3 linked regions of the Styela clava genome follow. The protein of the gene in region 2 purifies or fractionates together with the protein of the main gene of each other region. This does not show direct contact. Links are inferred from orthologs where the notes say so. Each region holds a gene or a part of one and is shown on either strand. Other genes may lie near its edges.

The links.
Region 1: the proteins of UBX domain-containing protein 7-like (region 2) and nuclear protein localization protein 4 homolog purify together in Homo sapiens (affinity purification with mass spectrometry; 3 studies listed by BioGRID and IntAct, with this or other methods). This does not show direct contact. The link is inferred for Styela clava from reciprocal best matches to the Homo sapiens genes UBXN7 and NPLOC4.
Region 3: the proteins of UBX domain-containing protein 7-like (region 2) and kelch domain-containing protein 3-like purify together in Homo sapiens (affinity purification with mass spectrometry; 3 studies listed by BioGRID and IntAct, with this or other methods). This does not show direct contact. The link is inferred for Styela clava from reciprocal best matches to the Homo sapiens genes UBXN7 and KLHDC3.

The regions. Positions count from the first base shown.
Region 1 is NC_135262.1:3,005,557-3,013,152, reverse strand, and holds the start of nuclear protein localization protein 4 homolog, read right to left. Parts: upstream 3,098-7,596; 5' UTR 3,047-3,097; coding exon 2,484-3,046; intron 1,701-2,483; coding exon 1,532-1,700; intron 482-1,531; coding exon 295-481; intron 1-294. UniProt on the Homo sapiens protein: The ternary complex containing UFD1, VCP and NPLOC4 binds ubiquitinated proteins and is necessary for the export of misfolded proteins from the ER to the cytoplasm, where they are degraded by the proteasome.
Region 2 is NC_135258.1:3,868,971-3,876,780, forward strand, and holds the start of UBX domain-containing protein 7-like, read left to right. Parts: upstream 1-4,725; 5' UTR 4,726-4,992; coding exon 4,993-5,038; intron 5,039-5,629; coding exon 5,630-5,731; intron 5,732-7,810. Other genes in the region: centrosomal protein of 63 kDa-like, read left to right, coding at 546-630, 1,356-1,703, 2,315-2,434. UniProt on the Homo sapiens protein: Ubiquitin-binding adapter that links a subset of NEDD8-associated cullin ring ligases (CRLs) to the segregase VCP/p97, to regulate turnover of their ubiquitination substrates.
Region 3 is NC_135255.1:9,937,165-9,944,993, forward strand, and holds the start of kelch domain-containing protein 3-like, read right to left. Parts: upstream 3,042-7,829; 5' UTR 2,909-3,041; coding exon 2,734-2,908; intron 1,414-2,733; coding exon 1,350-1,413; intron 1-1,349. UniProt on the Homo sapiens protein: Substrate-recognition component of a Cul2-RING (CRL2) E3 ubiquitin-protein ligase complex of the DesCEND (destruction via C-end degrons) pathway, which recognizes a C-degron located at the extreme C terminus of target proteins, leading to their ubiquitination and degradation.

The sequences.
Region 1 (7,596 bases), on a different chromosome or scaffold from region 2:
TTAGAACCCCCCTCGCAAATAATTACCCCCCATTAGATTCGAGCGTGCGAAGATCATCTCATACCAATAAATGGGCTTCGTTGCTGTCAGTCGTGCTTCATAAACAAAATCATAGCGAAGTATAAAATATCAGTAAAATATGTACAAGTCTGGCCAGAATAACCCCATATCAACAAAATGGCTTCAACGCTGTCAGTCATGCTCCATAAATTAAGGTTCGATAGTAAGCGCATTAAACGCATAGCACGATGTTGTCATTACCGAGTGAACAAACATAACAGAAGGCAACAATACCTTTAGATCTATCCTCAGCAACCAAGTCTGAAATGATCCAACCAACTTTCTGAAGCCCAAGTGCTTTCGCTACTTTCTCCACAATCTCTTGATGAGGGTCGGGCAGGATCTTCAGCGAGTTAGCCGAGCTTTCCTGTGGTGGCTCATATATTGCACAAACCTCTGCACGAATGCCGAGTGGTACTTCCTAAAATAATAAGAATAGTTCAGAAAAAACAAAACTTGAAAAAAAAAGCTGTTCTGGGAAAATGGGGAATTTTAATTTTTAATAAACTCTTCCAACTTTTAATAAAAATACTTTGTCGTGAACAACACTTAAACTTTGACTAGAAAACCACTTTATAAACCAATTTTTATAATTTTTTTAAAAGTTCCCAAATTCACCCTCTGTCCTGAAAGCCTCAAATTGTATTGTAAAGAATAATCATGATCTGAATAACCCGAAGAAGCAAAACTTGCAAAAGCTCTTTCACACTTCCTGAATAATATGTATATCACTGTCAAAAGCACTCTCAACAATGCATAGTATATTGCAAAGCAAAATTATTATTCAAAGACGAGACTTGAAAAAAAAATGTTTTTTTTAAATTTTTCAATCTTTCTTATTTGCATTATATCAAGTATTCCCATCAGGCTATAAAAGGGCAACATCTAGTTTTGCCATTCTGTCAGTGCCTTTGTGACATGACAAGATTTTGCTCTTGTTCGAGTAAGAGAGGTCGCCAAAATATATCGTGGAAATCAAACTTTCCAGAGCAGTTTTGATTCTTTCATCTTGGATTTTATTTTCCCCTTAATTAGAAAAACCAATTCAGTTTGGAACTTGTATAAACACTTTTGTATATCGTTTATCCTCGCATATGAGCCGAGTTCAAAACTTGACAAAAATGTTGTCAAATTAATGTGTCAGCTGATACGCTCTTACAACTCTGGGATTGGAAAGATGGAGAAGGTGATAGTGGGGATAAATTTTTAGGGATTTTGAGACACTTCTTGCTGTTATTAATAAAAGTTAAACAACAATAATGGTGATTATTTTCATTAATGCTCTTCTGCAACCATTTGATGTGACAGGTGAGTACAGTGAGTTACAATTTGTAGGATTTGCTTATATGCAAATTTTTATGAATTCAACGTTTTAGGTTCGTTTTAAGGGAGTTGGCTGATATGCAAGATCAGCTTATAATATGCGAATTATATATATACGGTAACGAGTATATATTTCTTCATCTTATACCTTATGTTGAGTATATCTTCCATACATGAATCCCATTCTCTGGTTTCCACTATTCCTCCAATAATTCAGGAATCTATCAGCGACTTCTCGATTTTCAAACATAATATTATCAACATGACGAAATTTTTGTTGATTCAGAGTGATTGCCGTTGGAAGGTCGAGGAGAGATCTAAAGAATGAATTCAAAATTGAGATTAGTCTGAAACACAGGTTCTCAACCAATGGAACATGCATGGCCCACTGTTGGACCAAAGACCTATTAAAAATTAGTAGTAATTTATTTGTGTCCCTATAGTTAATTTTGATTGTAGCAGCAATGAATGACAATGCTGTTTTCTGCTACTGAGTGGTAATTTTCATTCTAATTATTAATGTGAAAGTGTCCATTCTTGTGGGAAGATTTAGTATTTCTTGTAGTTTTTCCTTTGCATAAAGAAGTTTTTGGGCCACAGGATTATTGTTAAACAAAAACGGGCCATGATTGAAAATTGTTGAGAACTACTGCTCTAGAATAAATCTAAATGAAATTATTGTTTCAAGAGGCAGCCGTTGTTTACATAAATTTTTTCCGCTAGAATAAACAAACTTGTACATTGCTTTAATTTTGTCAGTAGTTGTATTTAGCTGTTCATTCAATACTTTTCAGAGCAATTTGTCTGCGATGTATTCTCGATATGATACAGACAAATTAATTCAAATATTCTCTCCAAATAAATTTTAAGCAATTTCTATGTCAGTATCAATTTCGAAAATAAACTTTTTCCAAATTGACAATTCTACAAATGGCAGTATCTATAAACTATTTTAAAACTTCAAAATTTGTTACACGAAACGTATTTAACTTAAAATCGTTTAGAATATTCATTTTAGATTTCTCTCGTCACAGATTTGATACGCATACTAATTGGAAGTAACAACCTTAATCAGAGATATAAATCAAAAAATCTCAAACCTTTTTTCTTCGCTAATCCCTTCTAGTTTGCAAGCAGTTCTGGTACTTTCCAGTTTAAAGTATTTCCCTTTGTCCACACCAGAAGTCTGTTGGCGCATGTACGCATGAAACGATAAAAACTTAATATCCTTTGATTTAAGATATGACTCATCCCATGAGTTTATCGGTAGATCATCAATCTTAAACATTCCACCTCTGACAGAACTCTTTTCATTTTGCGGAATCCTACCATCTTGTTTCCATAATTCTACGTCAATTTCGTCCTCTGTAAATTTCACTATGGGCGGGGCTTCGTTTTCAACCACGCCTCCATCTCCAGCTACGTTCATTCCGTCAGTGAAGATAAGATAACACATATCTCCATGTTTCAGTTTTTTGTTACTCAATTTTGACCGTGACCCCTTTTTAAGTTCATTTGTTCGGTCACGATTTTGAAACAAACACCAATTTTCATTTGCAAGAGCAAATTCCTCCGCGACCTTCCCAAGAAATGATGTAACCGTCTCCGAAGATGTTACCTCAACCCGTTTTGTACCATCCTTTGACTGGATTCTAATTATCATTATGGTTTAATTATTTTAATACTATATCTGTAAATTAGCTGCATGGTTAGAAAATTGCATATAAAGCGTAATTACAAGTGGTAAGGGCCTACGAGGTTTGCATAAGCAATATCAACAAATAGAATGTTTCCATAGATCAGTGATTTTGAACCTTTTTGCAGAAACTGGCGAACTTCCAGAGGCTTGAAAAATCCCTGTGCAATAGCTACGGTAAATTGTCTTTTATTGTCAGAACTGTATAGACTATAAATTTGCTTTTGTAAACTTGGTACTGGCAAAGCATAATCTTGAAAGGGTAGCATATTTTCAAAATAGTGGCCAATATTCAAACGAGAATATCGGTCGGAGACCCACCACTTATTGATCGAAAGTTAGGGGATCCCCCAAAACAGAAACTGCGGTTTCGATACCTTCACTATGACTCAATAGTGACACCGCGTGTCCCATCACTAATCAATAACTCGCTAATTATACGATATAATTCATCCTAAATCAATAGGCTTCTGGTTCGAGATATGATGAATGCACATGCAAAATTTGGAGCAGATTCAACCTCGCTTTCGTGAGATATCACGTAACATACGAAAGTGTCTGACAGACAAACAAACAGACAAATACCTATCAACATACTACTGATCAAGATCGATAAGGAATAATTTGCATAAACTTTCTGATTTTAGTAGAAACTTGCGGAACCGCCAGACTGTCTGTATTGGTGGAACTGTAGGGTGTAGCAGGAAAATGTTTGAAAACCACTGTCATAGTATATTATGCGTATGCCTCTCAGGTGAAGCGCAAATACTAAACAGAATTGATAAAAAAAAAATGGAAAACGAGTCTTCTTTGGTATAATTTAGGCCTATTACAGAGTGAGAAGTTTGGACAGAATATTCTTATTCGAAATAAAAGGTTTCATTGCTGCCAGTCATGCTTCATAAATTAAATCATATCAAAGCAGAGTTTATGTAAAAACATCACAGAGAAGAGAAATATTTTAAATATAAGTCTAGCCAGAATTTTCTCATACTAATAAGAGGGTTTCGTTGCTGCCAGTCATGCTTCACAAACTGAATCATACCAAAGCAAGGTCGGCTCACTTAATTAAGTGATTGGGATATTTTAATACTAACGAAAGCGTTTCATTGCCAGTCATGCTACACAAATATTTTTAAGGCAGTAGACTACTCTACTACTTGCATACACAAAAGGATAGTCAGTAAGTGGCATTGTGTGAATCTTTATAGGCTATGTATATAATATATTGGTATTCAACATCCACCATAAATTTTCTTTTCCTACAATGGGCAAATCATTGGTTACCGATAGCCTAATGAACAAACAGTTAATTATATTTTTCTTAAAAATAAAACAATTGTGCAAAATATAAGAAATCATCAAAAAAAAAATAGGATAGGATTTACATATTTATCCTGGGGGAGAGGAAAGCCGATAAGACGGCTTATCCATATGGCGAACCACGGCCTCTCGTCCGGTTACCATTCCAAGTCGGGTATGGGATTAGTTATATTGTTTGTTTTCGGAAGTATGGACTTGGTGGTGGAGGAAGCTGTAACCGACTAGCGGTTACGTGAACCACCCATTGACGGCGAGGAGGCACATAACCGTCCCTGCAAACCCACGCGAAATAATTAGAGATGCGGTGGCGAGCGTATTCCTAACGCTTAGCCCGTTGAGCCTCACCGCCGCGCCAAAAAAGCACCAGTGGTAGAAGGACATCTCACAAGGCTATGGGACTGGAGTAGAGAGTATCGACATAACAGCGAAAGGATTGCTAGACTTTTCAATGCTGTACAGTAATTCACAAAACTGCTGGTCGGTTACGGCTTTCTTCGCCATCAAGTCCATGCATCTGAAACAAATAACTGGGTGACTAATCCCATACAGAGCCAGGCAGTCCCGATAAAACATAACAGGAGATTCTCTTACTAACTAGGCTATACAAATGAATTCTAATCCATGAAGTTAAATCAACCATAATAGCAGTATCCAGAAATCAAGATGTAATATATGTACAGTCATCATTCAAAAAAGAGCAATATTACCACAAACACTTCCCACCTAGAAAATAAGAGTGTTCCCATTACAAGCAATTCTAACCTCACTCACACAAACATGGAAACATAGGAAAAATTCAAATGTCAAAAATTTAATCAAGCTGAATTTTTTAAAGGTACTTATGAGTCTTGTTAAAAACCACATACACTTCCCACCTGGAAAATAAGAGTGTTCACCTTGCGAGCAATTCTAACCATGCTCACACAAACATGAAGACATGGTCAGAAATTTGAATGCCGAGATTTTAATCCATCTGCAATTTGTGACTACTCCTATAAAACCACAAACACTTCCCATCCCAGAAAATATGAGTGTTCCTGTTACTAGCAATTCTAACCACGCTTACACAAGCATGTAAACATGGGCATAAACTTGAATGTCGGTAATTTAATCCAGCTGCATTTTATGAATAATTGTAAGTCTCATTTGTGACCAAGAACATTTTCCACACAGAAAAAAAGAGTGTTCCCATTGTGAGAAAGTTAACCAAGATCCACTTTTCCAATATTATCCAAGTTTCCTTGGTTGAATATATATCATGGAGGAAAAAATCAGGGATTGAAATGAAGGAATTGTAGGTAGGAAAAATACAATGATTTCAAGAACTGGAAATTCAGAAAGTTCACACAGTTTTATTATCACGATATATGAAGTTTGATATAAAAAAATTGCAGAATCATTAAAAACATATAAGATTTTTATTATTTATCTCAGGAGAAAAAAGTCAATAACGAACATAATTATAAGGCAGATATAGAATCTCATGAGGGAAATAGCTGATCAGATAGTCATTCCAGATTCATGGACATGAAAATATAAACGAGCAAAATAAATTTTTATTGTTGGATTGATTTAGAATTGAAATTTGAAAAGTCTAAATGGATTTCGATATAAAAACAATTGCATAATTGGAAAAAACAGTTTTCACTGAACTTTTCATATTTGCACTGGGAAAACAAGAAAATGGATAAAGCGGTTCAACAAGACATAAAAATTGTCCATTTAATATAACTGAAATAAGATATGAAACAAAATATCTAAGAAACAGAAATCTATACGCAATGGTCCCATGGTTATATCGCCATGTGAAAACAAATTAAAAAGGGGAAAGGTGTTGCTGATGATTTGCTATAGGCTCGGCGGTGTGGCGCATCGTGCTAAGCGTTAGGAATACGCTCGCCACCTCATCTCTGATTACCCTTCATGGGTTCGCAGGTTCAAATCTCATGTGGGGATGATCATGTGCGAGAGGATTGCTGGACTCCTCTCCGCCGTAGGGTGGTTCACTTAACCGCTGGTCGGTTACGGCTTCCACCACCATCAAGTCCATGCTTCCAAAAATAAATAACTGGCTAACTAATCCCATACCAGACCTGGACTGGTAACCGGACCAGAGGCCGTGGTTCGCTGCCATATAATTAAGCTGTCTTATCGGCTTTCCTCTCCTCCGGAATAAATATGTAAATCCTATCCTATATCAACTTGATCAAAAAATCATACGAAATTCAATATAACCCCTGAAAAATGAAACCCAGATCCTATGGAACATATACTAGAAAAAATTTTTTTGCAAAGCATTTAGATTTACTAAAACTTTTGGGTATAAAAAAAATTCTGTGTTGAATAACTTTTAATTTCTCACTACACCAGTGGTCACTTGAAAACATTCCACTAAAAATAATCAATTATAATCATATAGGGTCAAAAATGCATTCGCATCTTCGATATTCTTTTCAAATCCCAGACATCATATTTAGCTCAATAATTTGAACATGAATAATCACAGCATAATCTTTAAATAGAACAGTCTTTAACATAATAAGCATATTTAGTTAACTAGAAATTTAAACATTGGCTAAAAAATAGGATCAGAAGTTAACTTAATCAATTTAAATTGAATATAAAAAAGATGAATCCACCTTGAAAGAACAAACAGAAATGGGATTTGAACAAGATGAAATATCATCAAACTGACCAATGCCTCCACTAACATAATTAGGAAAGTCACTTAATACAGTTCCCCATGAATCCCCTACATCATCATAGATATACAACTTTCCTGAAACCAACAACACGAGTCTATTGTCAGCAATGAAACTGAAACTTTTGGAACTGATTGCTGTTGGCAGATTAAGTGTTTTCCATTTTTCACCATCGAAGCGTTGCATTTTATTGAGGAACGGTGAATTATTATTTACCAAGCCTACAACATAAATTTTTTCATTAGAATATGCCACAGAAGTATTCACAGAAGCTTCGGAAACTTTTTTCACGTTTCCCCAACTGTTATTCAATATACTGAAAAGTTTGTACTCGCTAACAATGTTGATTGCGATAAATTGTTTGTTTGATACTCCTGCAAAAAAGGGTTCTTCCAATTCACAACCAGGTAATGTTTCATCCCACTCATTTGTGATCGGATCATAAATAGAAAGCCTGTCCTTTTCAACAACATAGATAAGTTTATTAGTTGC
Region 2 (7,810 bases):
TTCTAAAATATTTGTTTTATGACTCTTATTCAAGAATTTTGACCCAAACAAGCATCTGCTCATACGTAATGATATGTGAAGTGGTACTATTTCTCGAAAGAACCAAATCTTTCCGTTTGAATCAAGAAATTCTACGAAGATATGAACGGATGATTGAGACTTTACATTCTATGTTTGAAAATTTGATATAAATTCACAAACTTTGCAATAGAATCAGATTTTGCCAATCTCCTATGCCAAGTCTTTTAAAAATAAGATTTCCACCCTTGGGACGACCTTGTTGTTGTCAGTTAAAAAAGCAAATAAAACAAATAATGCTTTCTGATTTCCGCCAGAAATATTAACTTTAAATAAAAAGGATGAAATTCCGGCTCCTGTCACAGATAATTCCAAAATACAACTTAGACAATTAAAACATGCCAAATTCCAACTGCACATCTCTGCGGATCAGTGGTTGCTTGTACAGAGCCTAGTTCAAAGTGAATGTGCTTCTATTCTATCTCTTCTCTTTCTATCTTGTTTTAATGAAGTTCTCTCTTTTACAGGCTGCAAGAGATGTCATCAAAAACTTCTGGCAAGAATCATTCTGTGGTAACTGATGGAGTTCTGAGTGACCCTGCTGATGATAATGTAAGTATATTGGTTAAGAGTGGCAACAGAACAGAATCTCAATCTTAGCACGTATAGATTATTTATGCCACTCCTTTCGCTCTGAGCCCTGTGGCAGTGGTTCTCAACCTGTGGCCCCTACGGGAACTTTTCAAGTGGTACGTGAGCAGCTTTGATTTATTGCAACAGTTAACTTCTAAGTCTAAATTATGCCAGCAACGTTTTCTCTTTATTTTTTATACTGTATGTATTCGCTAAACGGCATTTATAGTGCTACCGGTCTTTGTGTTTACAGATCCAAGTTTATTTGTCAGAGGTTCGCGATAATTCAGTAGTGGCAGTAGTTTTTATCTACTAAAAATTTTGAAATGATCGGTGGTTACGGGAAAAGCCCCAAATGTTTGTCGCAATGACAACAATTTAGCAAATGACCCTATGAATTCAGTTTTTGTCTAAAATGGGTGGGCAAGGTGTTTGGGCCAGGGGCCAAAATTATTTTGCCCACCTAGACTGGCAGGCCGTGTAAGTGTGACGTAAAAAATTTTACATTTTATGAACAATATTTACAGAGTTACAACAGCAAACGTGTAAAACGATAAGCCCCGTGCCAAAACAATTTAATAGCAATCTCAACAAATTCCTAAAGCATCGGGCAGGCCAAACTGAATTACTCAACAGGACAGATTTGACCCGTGGGCCGTAGTTTGCTCATATCAAGTCTAAAACCATTTTATTCATCTTTTTAGATACCCAGTCTTCAAATCAAGATTTCTGCAACATCTAACGGCACAAGTCAACCTAGCACAGTCGTTCCACCATCAGTTTCATCTTCAAAATCTAGCAACAGTGAAGCTGTGAAAGACTTCTTGGAAGAAGTAGGGTCACTGAGGTCACGAACTCCGACCCCTACACGACAATTCTTAAAATCAATTGGAATTGCTCCTTCTACAGTAACCGAAACGTCGCCGAATAATTCAATTTTTTCAACTCATATGGACGATAGTATTGATGAAAGAGAATTGAATGCGATACTTGGTCTACAGCAAGAAGATATTGGCAACAATAATAAAATGTCCAAAAATGACGGTTTACAGGTATTTTTTTCAAACAATCTTGCTTTGATAAACCTTATATTGGAAATAGATAGCTCATGAAAGATTTGATAGCAACCAATTGTTGTTCATAAGAAACAGAATTTTAGGAGCAGTGTTCCCTCTAAGGTGTGCGCGCGCACACAGCTTTCAGAGGCTGCGCACACGCATAGATTTACTGCGCACAGGCATATTTCGATGTAATGTAACAATGTGCTCGGTTGGCAGGTTGAGAAAGTTTGTTGTTGGCCCACTTATTACCCGGTTAGAACGCCAAAATTTCTTCATTGGTTTTTGCACAAATATTAGTCATTTCCAAAAAAGTGCGCACACTAAAATTTCTGCGCACACATACTACAAAAAATTAGAGGGAACATTGTTTAGGAGTATAGGATTTTTCAAATTTGATTTGGGGGAAAGGGAATCCTATGCGATGGTCAACCAAAGCCCCTCGTCCCATTAGGGCCATTACCAATCCGTGTCGGATAGATGTTTGTTTCAGATCTATGGACTTGACGGAGGAAGCTGTTACGGGCCTAACCGCACGAGACTTTCTCCTCGTAATATTTATAGTTAATAGTTTTAATCAGCTTTTACCTTAATTGCTCTTCTAGGATTTCCTGAAAGATGAAGAACTGCGATCCAAAGAATTGGAATCAAGAATTGATAAACACATTGAAAATATGAAAGAGGCGATGGCAGCCACAGTGAACAAATACCTAGCTCCGGTTTAAATTGAGAGAGAGAGAGAGAGAGATGTTGTTTCCACAAGCACTTTCAACATTGAAAAATAGTATAAAACAATATTGAAATTAGTAAATTCTCAAAATTTATCAGATTTTAGTGGCTGCTTGAGCTTGCTTGACCTTCAAAGGTCATCGGCGCTCCTGACAAATTCGTTTTCACAATATAAATATAAAAAATATTGAAAAATAAGAAAATGACTTCGCTGGCATACCTAATGTACAGGGTGTCCATAAAGTCTCATCACAATGTTGGTATAATGTCAGTTCTCAAAATATCTTAATTAACCAGGTTTGTTGTTTTTTAAATTAGTAGTTGTTTAGGTATTTTTACTTCATTTAATACATCTGTGAGGGCCAAAACAATATATGGTATCGATAAACTCCCTTTAGGATTTAAAAATTTTTTAGGAACTCATGGACACCCTATAATACATCCCTTCATGGGATTTTGCCTAAGATTGGGAATCATGCCAACACAACTAAGTGTTGGTAGCCCTTGGTATTACAGTAGGTTTCCAATATGGGAGGCTCAACTTTTAATGCGCACAAAAACTTTAAATGTTCTATAATACTGCAATACTTAATATCTCAATATATCACAGCGTGCATTTGGTAATGCTCACTTCAGGCATTGGTTTATCACCTCTTCTATCCATTCATTCATAAGAACGCTTTACGAAAAAATATTTTTCCATAATTTCTGTTAGTAATTTTTGGGAGGAAATGTGTGAAGAGACTGAGAGAGGTTCTGAAGTTACTTTTTGTCTATTTAAGCTGCTTCCATGTTTTTGAACTTGAAGATTTATTATGCTTTTGTTGCTATGATTTCAAAAACCTATTTACTGGCTTCTATATTTTTCTATTTTGAGATAAATATCTTTATTTATGGATGCCAGTTTTTGTTTTTCTGTTAGTCAGGTGAAGGTATTTAGATCCAGCTCAGAGGATAAAATTTCGGAGCTCCCGAAGTATGTGCACCAAGATGGCGCACAGCCTGAACATAGTATGTGTATTGGGTTAGAGTTCAGGTTGTGCGCCATCTTGGTGCACATACTTCGGGAGCGCCAAAATTTCAGCGAACGGATTTTAGTACTTGGTAGATTCTTATTATGGTTGCCAATAGTTAGTTAGGGGGAAGACCCATCTATACGGTTATTAACATGGTGCTCTTATAGCTTCCAAATTGTATGGATGATTTCCTGACCCGAAAACGGCAAATGTCTGTAATCTTGCATACCTGTCTGGGTGATCTGATAATTTGTTATGAGTGATTATTTCATGAATGTAGAAAGTAGGATATATTGAAAAGACTGGTGATTTATTCCGGATTATAAGCTCAGTGATTGGCGCATCGGGCCAAGAGAGAGATGAGAAGATATCATCGCGCCTTTAATTACCCGGCGTGTGTTTGAATCCTGTGAGGACCAATTATGCGTGAGAGGATAGTTGGACTCCTCATCATCATCATAGGGTGGTTAGTGAAAGTGTTGTTCCATTTTCTCATCATCATAGGGCGGTTAGAAAAAGAGTCGTTCCATGGTTGTTTGCGAGCGCGTTCTTAACACTCAGCACGATGCGCTAGGCGTCGTGTCGTATGGATTCCGATATTTATTTTCGTCATGTATGGGCCAGAGCATCTGTGATTTTATCAGTCTTGCATAGTGTCCGAAAAAACAATGATGAATCAATTAGAATTAATTTATTTCTTGATTTTAATGCAATGGTCCTTTCCCCGACCTTTAACCCCTGGAAAATTCTTCCCATACTTTACCATTACAAAATTATCGGGGCTATTTTAAGAGTGCTTTTGCAAGTTGGCGTCTGTAAAATGGGGTATATGTTTCAAACCATCATTGTGATTTATTGCATACAACAATCTGTTTTTTAAAGGTACCGGTAAAGAATTTCAGGCTAATCTATCACAGCTATATCTACACTAATTTTTCTTACAGCAATTAAATTAAAACTCCTAGAAAGACAGAGTGATCATTGAATTATCTGATTTATATTTAAGTTTCCAAAACACAACTAAAAACTAATGAATAAAGTTCAAAAAAGCGAAAACGATGTAATGTTCACAACCTCGCTTGAAAATCTGTCTGAGTGAAAAAAGTGTCTGAGTGGATGCGAAAAGAAGGCATTGTTACTTCACTTTTTGCATTTTACTGATTGGCCAATGTCACGAAGTAAACAAGGAAGTCGATGCTCGAGGAAAGGTGTCGACTTTGATTGTAGAAATGAAAACTCTACCGACACCTAACGGATGTTTTGATTACCGGCTTATTAGACTGGAACCACCTTACATAATTTGGAGAAAATCCCTCCGTAGTTTTGTAATTTTTTGCGGGTTTTCTTCGTTTTTTCTGAGCGTTATATAAAGAGTTATGTAACATAAGTCACGGAAGAGAGACATTGAATAATAAAATATATGAACGATTTTCAAGAGCACAGAAAGTGGAAATTTACTGAATACTTAGGCTACATATTGAAGCAACGGTTTCGATTTAAAAAACAGCTGTCTCTTCTCAATCTTGCAATACTGCAATATGGGATCTAGAGAAAAATTAATCAAAGAATTTGTGAGCATTACAGGTACGGTTGTATTTGGTATTCTTCTTTGGGCCGACTAGGCACATTTTTACATAACGTTATCGTATTTATTTTGATGGGAATAGCCGATAACACTGTAAGAAGAATGGAAGAAGACAGGCGAACATACTGCAGCACTAACTATGTGCTCTGATTTCAAGAATAGCCCCCACATTAAAATATATCAATTATGACAGTGAGTGCGAACCTCTACCTATTTAACGAGCCATTATATCAGTATATCGACTAAAAACGACAAGTCGGCATTGCGCAATAAACTGAAAGGAGGTGCAATCTAAAAACGTCGCCATCCTGCCATTGACAGAATGGATTTCTCGGAGAAAAAAAATAATAAAATTTACAGAAGGAATTAAAATTTTACAGTAGTAGTTTTCAACAAAAATCGCAATTTGGTCATGTGACGGCCAGCGCACTTTGCGATTGATTTAAATTATTACCGAGACAAGCTTGGTACGATTTGATGCCTGGTGGCGTTCTACTGCTTGGGTCAACTGGTGGATATGGGCCATGCTAACATGGTTAGCTTCACTGTCTGTACTAACTATTAGCGCTCAAAATTTTCTTTTTTTACAGGCACAGACAAAGGAACAGCGAAACATTTTCTCGATGCTTGCTCGGACAATCTTGAAACTGCAGTCGCCATGTTCTTGGATGATAAGACTCCAGGCACAACAGGTAAAATTTGTCGATTTCTATATTGTTTGATGCAGCACAAACACTTTCTTGTCTATGAGTTTAATATTTAGTAGCGTGGTTCCCAATCTTTTATGGCTCGTGACTCTCTTCTAGAGGCTTTCAGCACTCATGGCCCCCTTATTTATTATTCCAATGGTATTTTTAGCAATATTTTGATTGGTAGATTCCAAATCTACTTATGCTCAAACAATTCAACAAAGTGAGTACATCCTGTGAAATAACTTTATCAAGCAATGAAACTAGGAAGAACGGGTGGTTTTATTGTAAAGCAGGGGTCTCAAACTCGCGGCCCGTGGGCCAATTGCGGCCCGCAGGACGATAATTTGCGGCCCCCGCCTTGGTATGAAAGTTTGATGTTAGTGCGGCCCGTAAGTCACTCACCTCAGTTAGAATGATTGATGCATTTAATATATGATCAAGACAAGTAGAGCAAAACAAAATATTTTATAATCTATCCCCCGAAAGGAATATGCGGCACGGTAATCTACTAGTACACTAGGGTATTCGATGGACCTTTGACCCCAAAGAAGATTTTTCTTATACTTTACCATTGCTAATTCTTGGTGCTTATTTTAGAGGTGGCTTTGCGAGTTGAAGCCTATAAACTGGGGTATGTTTCACGTCATCATTTTGATTCAAAACATTCAACAACTTGTTTTTTAACAGTACCGGTAGAGAAGTTTAGCCTAGTCTATCACAGTTATTTCTAGACCTATTTTTGATTACGGCAATTAAGCTACGACGCCCAAGCAATCAGAATGATCATTGAGTTCTTTGATTCATACTTGAATTTCTGAAACACAAGCCAAAACTAACAAATAGCATGCAAAAACGAGGTAATGTTTCAAACATGCCTGAAAGTGTCTGAGCGTCTATTGTTTATTGTTACGTCGCTTTTGCGTCTTGCTGATTAGCCAATGTTACGGAATAAACAAGGAAGTAGATGCTTGGGGAAAGGTCCATCGCGGAATTACTTACATTTATGTTTTTGACATGTTTGCGTATAGAAAAACAGAGGAAAAGATTTAACTTTTTAAGTTTAATGCTTTTATTGTGAAAAAACTGATGCGGCCCCGGACTCACTGAGGCTCCGTCTCGGCGGCCCTCAAGTAAATTGAGTCTGAGACCCCTGTTGTAAAGTGAATGGTAAAATAAGTTATGAACCTAGCATTGTGGCCTCCTTCAACTGCTCTATGGCCCTCTTGAGGGCCCCGGGCCGCTGGTTGGAAATCCCTGAAGGAGTGTCATGTTGAGCATGACGGTATCGTACATATCGAGTGCCATACCCAAACGATGCCCATTCGGTCAGTGGCGTATCTACGTAAAATTGCGCCCATGGCAAAGTTGAAAAATGCGCCCCCTTGATAGTTGGTTAACGATTTATAATGACTGTTATTGAAATGCTATACCTGTGCGTTATTATTCAAGTATAAATGCGAGATTTAGTTGTCTCCAATTTGAAATAATTTATTGAAACCTATACGATCAGAACTTTTCGCTGTTTTTGCGCCCCTGTCTAAGCATCGCCTATGGCATAGGTTCTCAAAGTGCTCCGTACGGAGCCCCAGGGCTCCGAGAGAGAAGCCTAGGGGCTCCGCGAGCTATTTGATTACTTTTCAAAGGACTGACTTGGCTAATTTTGTGACTTTTCAAAGAAGCAATAACAGCTTTGATAAAATTTGACAACAGTATAGCCTCGAAATATGGCAAAGAGGCGGAATTCAAAAATGACAATATTTATAAGCACGTGCGCAGCCAGGATTCTTAAGAGGGAGGGGGGATCAAAGTTGGAATCGGAATTGTTCGCGCAACATTCTTCGCGCTTAAGAAAAAAACTTTTTCAGTGGATAACGAGATTTCTGTTGCGTGAAATATTCAATCCATGACTGATGCGAGCATTTAAAATGTCCTGTCATAATAATTTAATTGTGTTCATCGTTACTCATGTTTGATTCAAGATTACTATGAGGATTACTTAAATAAAAAATTACTATTCTAAAATAACATAAAATACGTGATAAACTATAAATGAATTGGAATCGTATTTTTGCAATCTTG
Region 3 (7,829 bases), on a different chromosome or scaffold from region 2:
TCTCGCTCAACGCAGAATAGGTAATAGGACTTTTTTAAATCTGTATTGTTTCACAATAAATCAATAATACATAGCGCATACAGCATACGCTTCCTCCACCATGCACTGCACGTTTCGTTTTACTGTTTGGAATAACAGCTTCATTTTACTAGCGGTGTAGTGTAGTGTAAGTACAACACCCTTATGTTATAATTTTGGTTTTGTTAAGAACAAAATGTGACAGCTGGGCATCTGATTGAACTGCCGCACGCCAGATAGGACCACCTCCATGTTGCGACTCAACTGGTTCATTTTCATTTCTTGGGTCATTGAATAATAAGGCTACATAACATAAGTAATACACAAATTGGCAAAAGGCAAAGACCTAGCCTGTTGTTATATCATGTTGTGTCTGACATTGTTTAAAGTCGGTTTATCATTTGTGTTGCGCAAGTTCAAAATATCGAACACAGTGACTTGGGCAGCATATTTAACCGGTTTATATTAAAAACAGTATTATATAGCGTGGTTCCCAAAAAACAAGACCATCAATTACTCGATTACTTATACGAAAATGGAGTGAATTATTCAATTTTGTCTAAACTTGAACTTCTGTTTCACTCTTCTTTGAGTATTTCTCCATTTTATTTCTGCAATCGCAGCCTTGAGTTTACCAATCGTTTGAGGATTGTTCTGATACAAATTGTCCTTCGAACTCCCTACATATCAAAATCTGAGAGGTTTCAGTCCGATAATTAAGGTGCCTTACTGGATGTCCCCGCTAACTTCTCTCTCAGGATAGCAAGCGTCTGATTTGATGTATGGGGTGTCGCCTCGTCATGCTTGAACCACTGCTGGTCACCTTTATCAATCTATTAAGTAATGTCCAGATTTTTTTCGGCACAAACACGTAATGTTCTGTATTCACCGTTTGGTTGGAAATTTTGCATTGAGTATATACTATTGAGTATAATCATACGCAAACAGAAGTTCAGGCACAAATAAGATTGAATAATTTTTTTGGAGATAGTAAAGAAATTTTTGATTTCCGTTTTCTAGATAACCCTAAAATTTCCTGAAGCGAAAAGAGCGAGTATTTAGGGCAACGACTGCACTTTTACATATCAAGAGAGATAAAGTTGCTTTGACTTTTTTGTTAGGGGGGCGTTTGCTAGTTAAAAAGTCATCCAAGGTGGCAGAAAAAGTTTGGGAAACAGTGTTTTAGATAAAACCACAAAAATTGATGGATCCTTCAAGTTAATTTTCTGAAATTCCACCAACTCTCAGGCAAAAGTATTATCATAATTCTAAAATCATAGATATCATATGATTAAATTCGTCCCGAAATAAAGAAATGCCGATAAAAGTACCTCATGTATGGAACATTTTCAAAATATTCGTTCCTTTGCTGTATTCTTCTCCATCTTAAGAATTCTAAAAATAAATGTCATAAATATATTTGCATACATGAGAGAGTGGTGACCTGCAGTCTAAAAAACTATGACTAATGTTGAAATTTTATTACAAATATACCGGTCTTACTACTTACTGAATACAGCGCGAAACACCGCAAAGAGCGCAAAACAGAGGGAAACAGCGCAAAACAGTGGGGAAACAGCGCGAAAGAGCGCAAAACAGAGGGAAACAGTGTGAAGCGGACAATTTTTTTGCAATGAGTTCGGAGCACCTTGTTTTGAGTTGGAGTACCACGGCAGCAAATTAAAAACACAAACCAACTTATGTAGCCAGTAATGCTGTAATGGCAGGTCTGCCCCTGCTGGTGACACATTTTGGGTACCATAATTTAGAACATTTTCCATATGGATATGGTTGGCTTTAGGGTTAGGGTTAGGTAAAAAGGGACCTCCAGAAGTATGTGCACCAAGGTGGCGCACAACCTGAAAATAGTATGTGTGTGTGTGTGTGTAGCGGATTCAGGTTGTGCGACATATTGCTGCACATACTTCTGGAGCACCAAAAAGGTAGATAAAATTTCGCATGATGACCTATAATCCGGTTCATAGCCTTGTAAATATACCGGAAATAGCGCCATAAAACCATGGCGAGAGGCGCCGTGGTTCTTTCGTGGCAGGAGGTGGTAATGACTGCGTCCCCTGTTTTGCGCTGTTTCCCTCTGTTTTGCGCTGTTTCGCGCTCTTTGCAGTGTTTCGGGCTGTATTCAGTAAGTAGTAAGACCCCAAATATACATCGAAACATGAGGCCAAGAGCCTTTGATATGCATATTATTTTGTGGCTACAATTGCCTGAATTCTCAAGTTGTTAGAGTTAACAGTTATTAGAGGCTTTATTAACAGGCATTTAAGTCAGTAAGTTGTCTATATATCTGTATATTTCTGCATCGGGTTATAAGCCACTCATGATAGGTAATATATGGTGTTCGGGCATTTTTGTTAACACAATAACAAATGGAGCATTTTTATCAACACAGTGAAGCAAACGATACCTAGCATGCACTAAAATTACGTTATAGGTGTGAAATATTCTGTTATTATTCAACATTTACAACCTACAGACCTAGGCAGCATGGTCATCCCAATAATTTAAGGATGGTGAGCTGCCTGTCCAGTGTATATTGCTCAGATAAAAACACCCAACAAATACCATACTTGTAGATACTAAAATTGTCATCATTAAATCAGTAAATGAAATAAAATACCACTGGTACAGCATTACCTGATTATTACTGTATTAACATTTAGTAAATTTATGCTAAACAGACACAGGTAGACTCACCCGTATTAAAGGCATAAATATCGATGGCAGTCCAGTCAGTATCATCATCATCAGTATTGTAATCTTCTCCAGAACAAAATCCACCAAACATATATATATCTTTATTGATAATTACTGCCGAGTGGTTAACTCGTTGAGGTCCACCCTCAATCGAATATGTCCAAAAAGGGTGCATATCATCAGTATCTTTGAATCATTGCTGAATCTGTGAATTGTCAGATCATATACAAGTAGATGTACAAACATGCATGTCATGCATATATCAGTATATTAGATACTTGGCCCTACAGCCACCTAGGTAAAGCTAGCGGACAGTTACCTATTTTTCCGAATTTGAACCCGCCATGTTCCACGAATTGATCGCAAATAAAGTGGACAGTTGTCGCAAATTCACTTAATTGCGGCTACATGGATGCAAAAAATGAGGCGATTCGCCCTTTTAGAAACTAACGACAGAACTGAAACATTTTTTTTCGGTGAAATGAATTATTGCTCAGAAGCTCATTTATCGACAAAATCTAAAATTTAACTGAGTTGAAGCGTAATTTATGCAAGAAATTATTTTTTTTCATTCAATTCATTAATGCAGTGTGTTTGGTGAACAAATATATTAATATACAAAACATATTAAAATTAAAAAAAAATCCACCGTTTGGAAAGTAGGGAAATTCCCCCCAATCGAAGAAAAAAATATAAGAAATCGTCAATTTGACTCAGTTAAAGCGTAATTTAGGTTAGAATGAATTTTTTCTCATCCAATTCATTAATGCAGTGTGTTTGGTGGACAAATATAAAATACATATTAAAATTTTAGAAAAATCCACCCTGCGGAAAGTAGGGAAATTCCCCCCAATTGAAGAAAAAAATATAAGAAATTGTCAATTTAACTCAGTTAAAGCGTAATTTAGGTAAGAAGGAATTTTTTTTCATCCAATTCATTAATGCAGTGTGTTTGGTGGACAAATATACAATACAAATTAAAATTTTAAAAAAATCCACCGTGCGGAAAGTAGGGAAATTCCCCCCAATTAAAGAAAAAAATATAAAAAATCGTCAATTAGACTCAGTTAAAGCGTAATTTAGGTAAAAGGAATTTTTTCTCATTCAATTCATTAATGCAGTGTGTTCGGTGGACAAATATAAAATACATATCAAAGTTTAAAAAAAATCCACCGTGCGGAAAGTAGGGAAATTCCCCCCAATTGAAGAAAAAATATAAGAAATCGTCAATTTTACTCAGTTAAAGCGTAATTTAGGTAAGAAGGAATTTTTTCTCATCCAATTCATTAATGCAGTGGGTTTGGTGAACAAATATACAAAACATATTAAAATTTGAAAAAATCCACCATGCGGAAAATAGGGAAATTCCCCCCAATTGAAGAAAAAAATATGAGAAATCGTCAATTTGACTCAGTTAAAGCGTAATCTAGGTAAGAAGAAATTTTTCCTCATCCAATCCATTAATGCAGTGTGTTCGATGGACAAATATAAATTACATATTAAAATCCATCATGAATTGACCTTCGTCTTCCTCATCTCCAATGTCGGCGAAATTCCAAATTAAAGTCTTCGGTTCCTAATATGAAATTTAAGTACCGGTAATCCCATGTCACCAGTGATGTGATGCTCCGGTAATAACAAACATAGTGGTTTAGGTTTATATGAATGTAACCTTTGCTTATTTTTGTCATCCCAAGGTAATGTACTCCTCCTCTTATCTTTTTTTTCATTTAATTTAAGACACCCAGGGCGTCATAATGTATAAATGGTACTTCCGCCTATAATATCAAAATAATCGAGATGTTTCACAATTATTCAGTCTGATATATGATTTTTGGTGACAATAAGATCTAGAAAAAATCGAGATGATAGAAGTTCAATAATAATAAAGTTTAGTCCATCTGAAAGTTAAATGGAAATTCAACAAAGATTTGAAAATATCTGTAATAATAATATCAATACCATTTCGTTTGATATTTCAATTGAAGAATTGAAGACATCTTCTTGCAGAATATACTTAAGAAGTACGAATTCGCTCTGTAAGGCTAGGTTAAGAGAACTCGAATAGAAAAACATGATCATGTGATGATATATAAACAGCGCCCCCCTCAGTTTTGATTGTACAATCATGCTGCCCAACACGCGCGTGGCAAACACCGACGTTCTCTGATCTATAGCCTGCAAATACTTGAATAATGTTGATGACAGATTAGGTAACATGGAGATTTATCTCGGGAACGGAAAGCCGATAAGGCAGCTTAATCATACGGCGAACCAAAACAAATTAAGGGATATACATATTATTAATGAATTGGATAAGTAAATATTTTTTCTTACCTAACTTACACTTTAACTGAGTTAAATTGACGATTTCGTATATTTTTTCCTTAAATTGGGGGGAATTTCTCTACTTTCCGCACGGTGGAATTTTTTTTTAATTTTAATATGTATTTTATATTTGTCCACCACATACACTGTATCAATGAATTGAATGAGAAAATATTCTTTCCTGCATAAATTACGTTTTAACTGAGTTAAATTGACGATTTCTTAAATATTTTCAACAAATTGGGGGGGATTTCCCAACTTTCCGCATGGTGGAATTTTTTTTAAATTTAATATGTGTTTTATATATCCCCACCAAACACACTGCATTAATGAATTGGATGAGAAAATATTCTTTCCTGCATAAATTACGTTTTAACTGAGTTGAATTGCCGATTTCTTAAAAATTTTCGTTAAATTGTGGGGTATTTCCCAACTTTCCGCATAGTGGAATTTTTTTAAAATTCAATATGTGTTTTATATGTCTCCATCAAAAATAACTGTGTTGATGAATTGGATGAGAAAAAATTCCATCTTACCTAAATTACGCTTTACCTGAGTTAAATTGACGATTTCTTATATTTTTTTCTTTAATTGGGGGGAATTTCCCTACTTTCCGCACGGTGGATTTTTTTAAAATTTTGATATGTATTTTATATTTGTCCACCACATACAGTGTATCAATGAATTGGATGAGAAATATTCTTTCCTGCATAAATTACGCTTTAACTAAGTTAAATAGACGATTTCTTAAATATTTTCATCAAATTGGGGGGAATTTCCCTTACTTTCCGCACGGTGGATTTTTTTTTAAATTTACTATGTGTTTTATATATTTTCACCAAATATACTGTATCAATGAATTGGATCAGAAAAAATTCCTTCTTATCTAAATTACGCTTTAACTGAGTTAAATTGACGATTTCTTATATTTTTTTCTTCAATTGGGGGGAATTTCCCTACTTTCCGCACGGTGGATTTTTTTTAAATTTTGATATGTATTTTATATTTGTCCACCAAACACACTGCATTAATGAATTGAATGAGAAAAAATTCCTTCTTACCTAAATTACGCTTTAACTGAGTTAAATTGACGATTTCTTATATTTTTTCTTTAATTGGGGGGAATTTCCCTACTTTCCGCACGGTGGATTTTTTTTAAATTTCAATATGTATTTTATATTTGTCCACCAAACACACTGTATTAATGAATTGGATGAGAAAATATATTTATTCCTGCATAAATTACGTTTTAACTGAGTTGAATAGACGATTTCTTAAAAATTTTCCTTAAATTGGGGGGTATTTCCCAACTTTCCGCATGGTGGAATTTTTTTTAAATTCAATATGTGTTTTATATATCTCCATCAAATACACTGTATTGATGAATTAGATGAGAAAAAATTATTTCTTGCATAAATTTCGCTTCAACTCAGTTAAATTTTAGATTTTGTAGAGAAATGAGCTTCTGAGCAATAAATCATTTTACCGAGATAAAATGTGTTGTTTTAATCATTTTTATTTTAATATGTTTCAGGTCTGTCGTTAGTTTCTAAAAGGGCGAATCGCCTCATTTTTTGCATCCATGTAGCCGCAATAGACCTTATTCAATAAAAACCCATCCTACGCGCAAAAAAAAAAGTGATGTAAAAAAATATTTTTTAACATTAGCTCTCATGGGGAATGTATTCACCAGAGCAGAAATTTGCATTTTATGTATTTTTCTAGATATCTTTCATTGTATACGTGAGCAGTTTTGAGGATAGAATATTTTTTACGTCTTTTTTGATATTCTTATTATGATAAACATGGTCAAGATTTTTAATAATCGCTCATTGAAATTTTAATGAGCGCGGTTTTTCCGAAGACGTCATTCTCACTAGACCATGAGATTCTGCCAACGCGCCGTGCTCTGTGGGATATGTGCTCCAACTGCATGTGATAACAGATACTGGAATACCGGTACCGGGACCACAACTGGCGTTCAACGAAAGACCTATTTTGGTTTTAATTGGATGTTATATATTTCATGAATTCCATGTACATTTCTGGTACACCTTTCAAAATCCAATGGCCTAACTCAGTTCATATGTTGACGGTACCTACCATGTATGGTACCTATCCCAAAATTGGTGATGTTCAGGGCTGGATTTAGACCATGAGAGGCCCCTTCATATTTTTGAGCTCAGAATTTCTCTCTAAACAAAACCACATTTAATTGCTTAAAATTTAAAAATATGAAAGCATTAAACTTTTCATTCTCCCCATTCATGGGTGTGAATTTTTGATTAAAAGAATGATAATTTACTTGAGGCAGTTTTGCTTTCAATTTTTTGTCATACTTTAACATAGAAACTTCCAGCAGAATGCGCATAATAATAATTTCCCTTATTATGATGCAAACGACGCAATAATGGCTGTTTACAATGTGGTTGAAACTTGTTGTACACAGAATTTTCTACTCTGAAAAGCTTGATATATATATATACTTTTTGTAGGGTTTAAACTTGTCAAGTTTTCAAAAGAATTACAAAGTTTGAAACCGAATTTCGAGGCTCTAGGTTTCAGCCTGCCTAGCCTATTGGTAAATCCAGCACTGGCGATGGTCCCTACAGCAAATTTCGGGCCCTAATCACTCAGCAGATTGAAATAAATGGTTTTCAGCATTTATTAGCAAAGATAGATATTTTAATTAAACTTATAGTTCAACTTAAAGCCTGTATAATGATATTATAAATATATGTCCCATTATTACTGCATTGTGAGAAGGC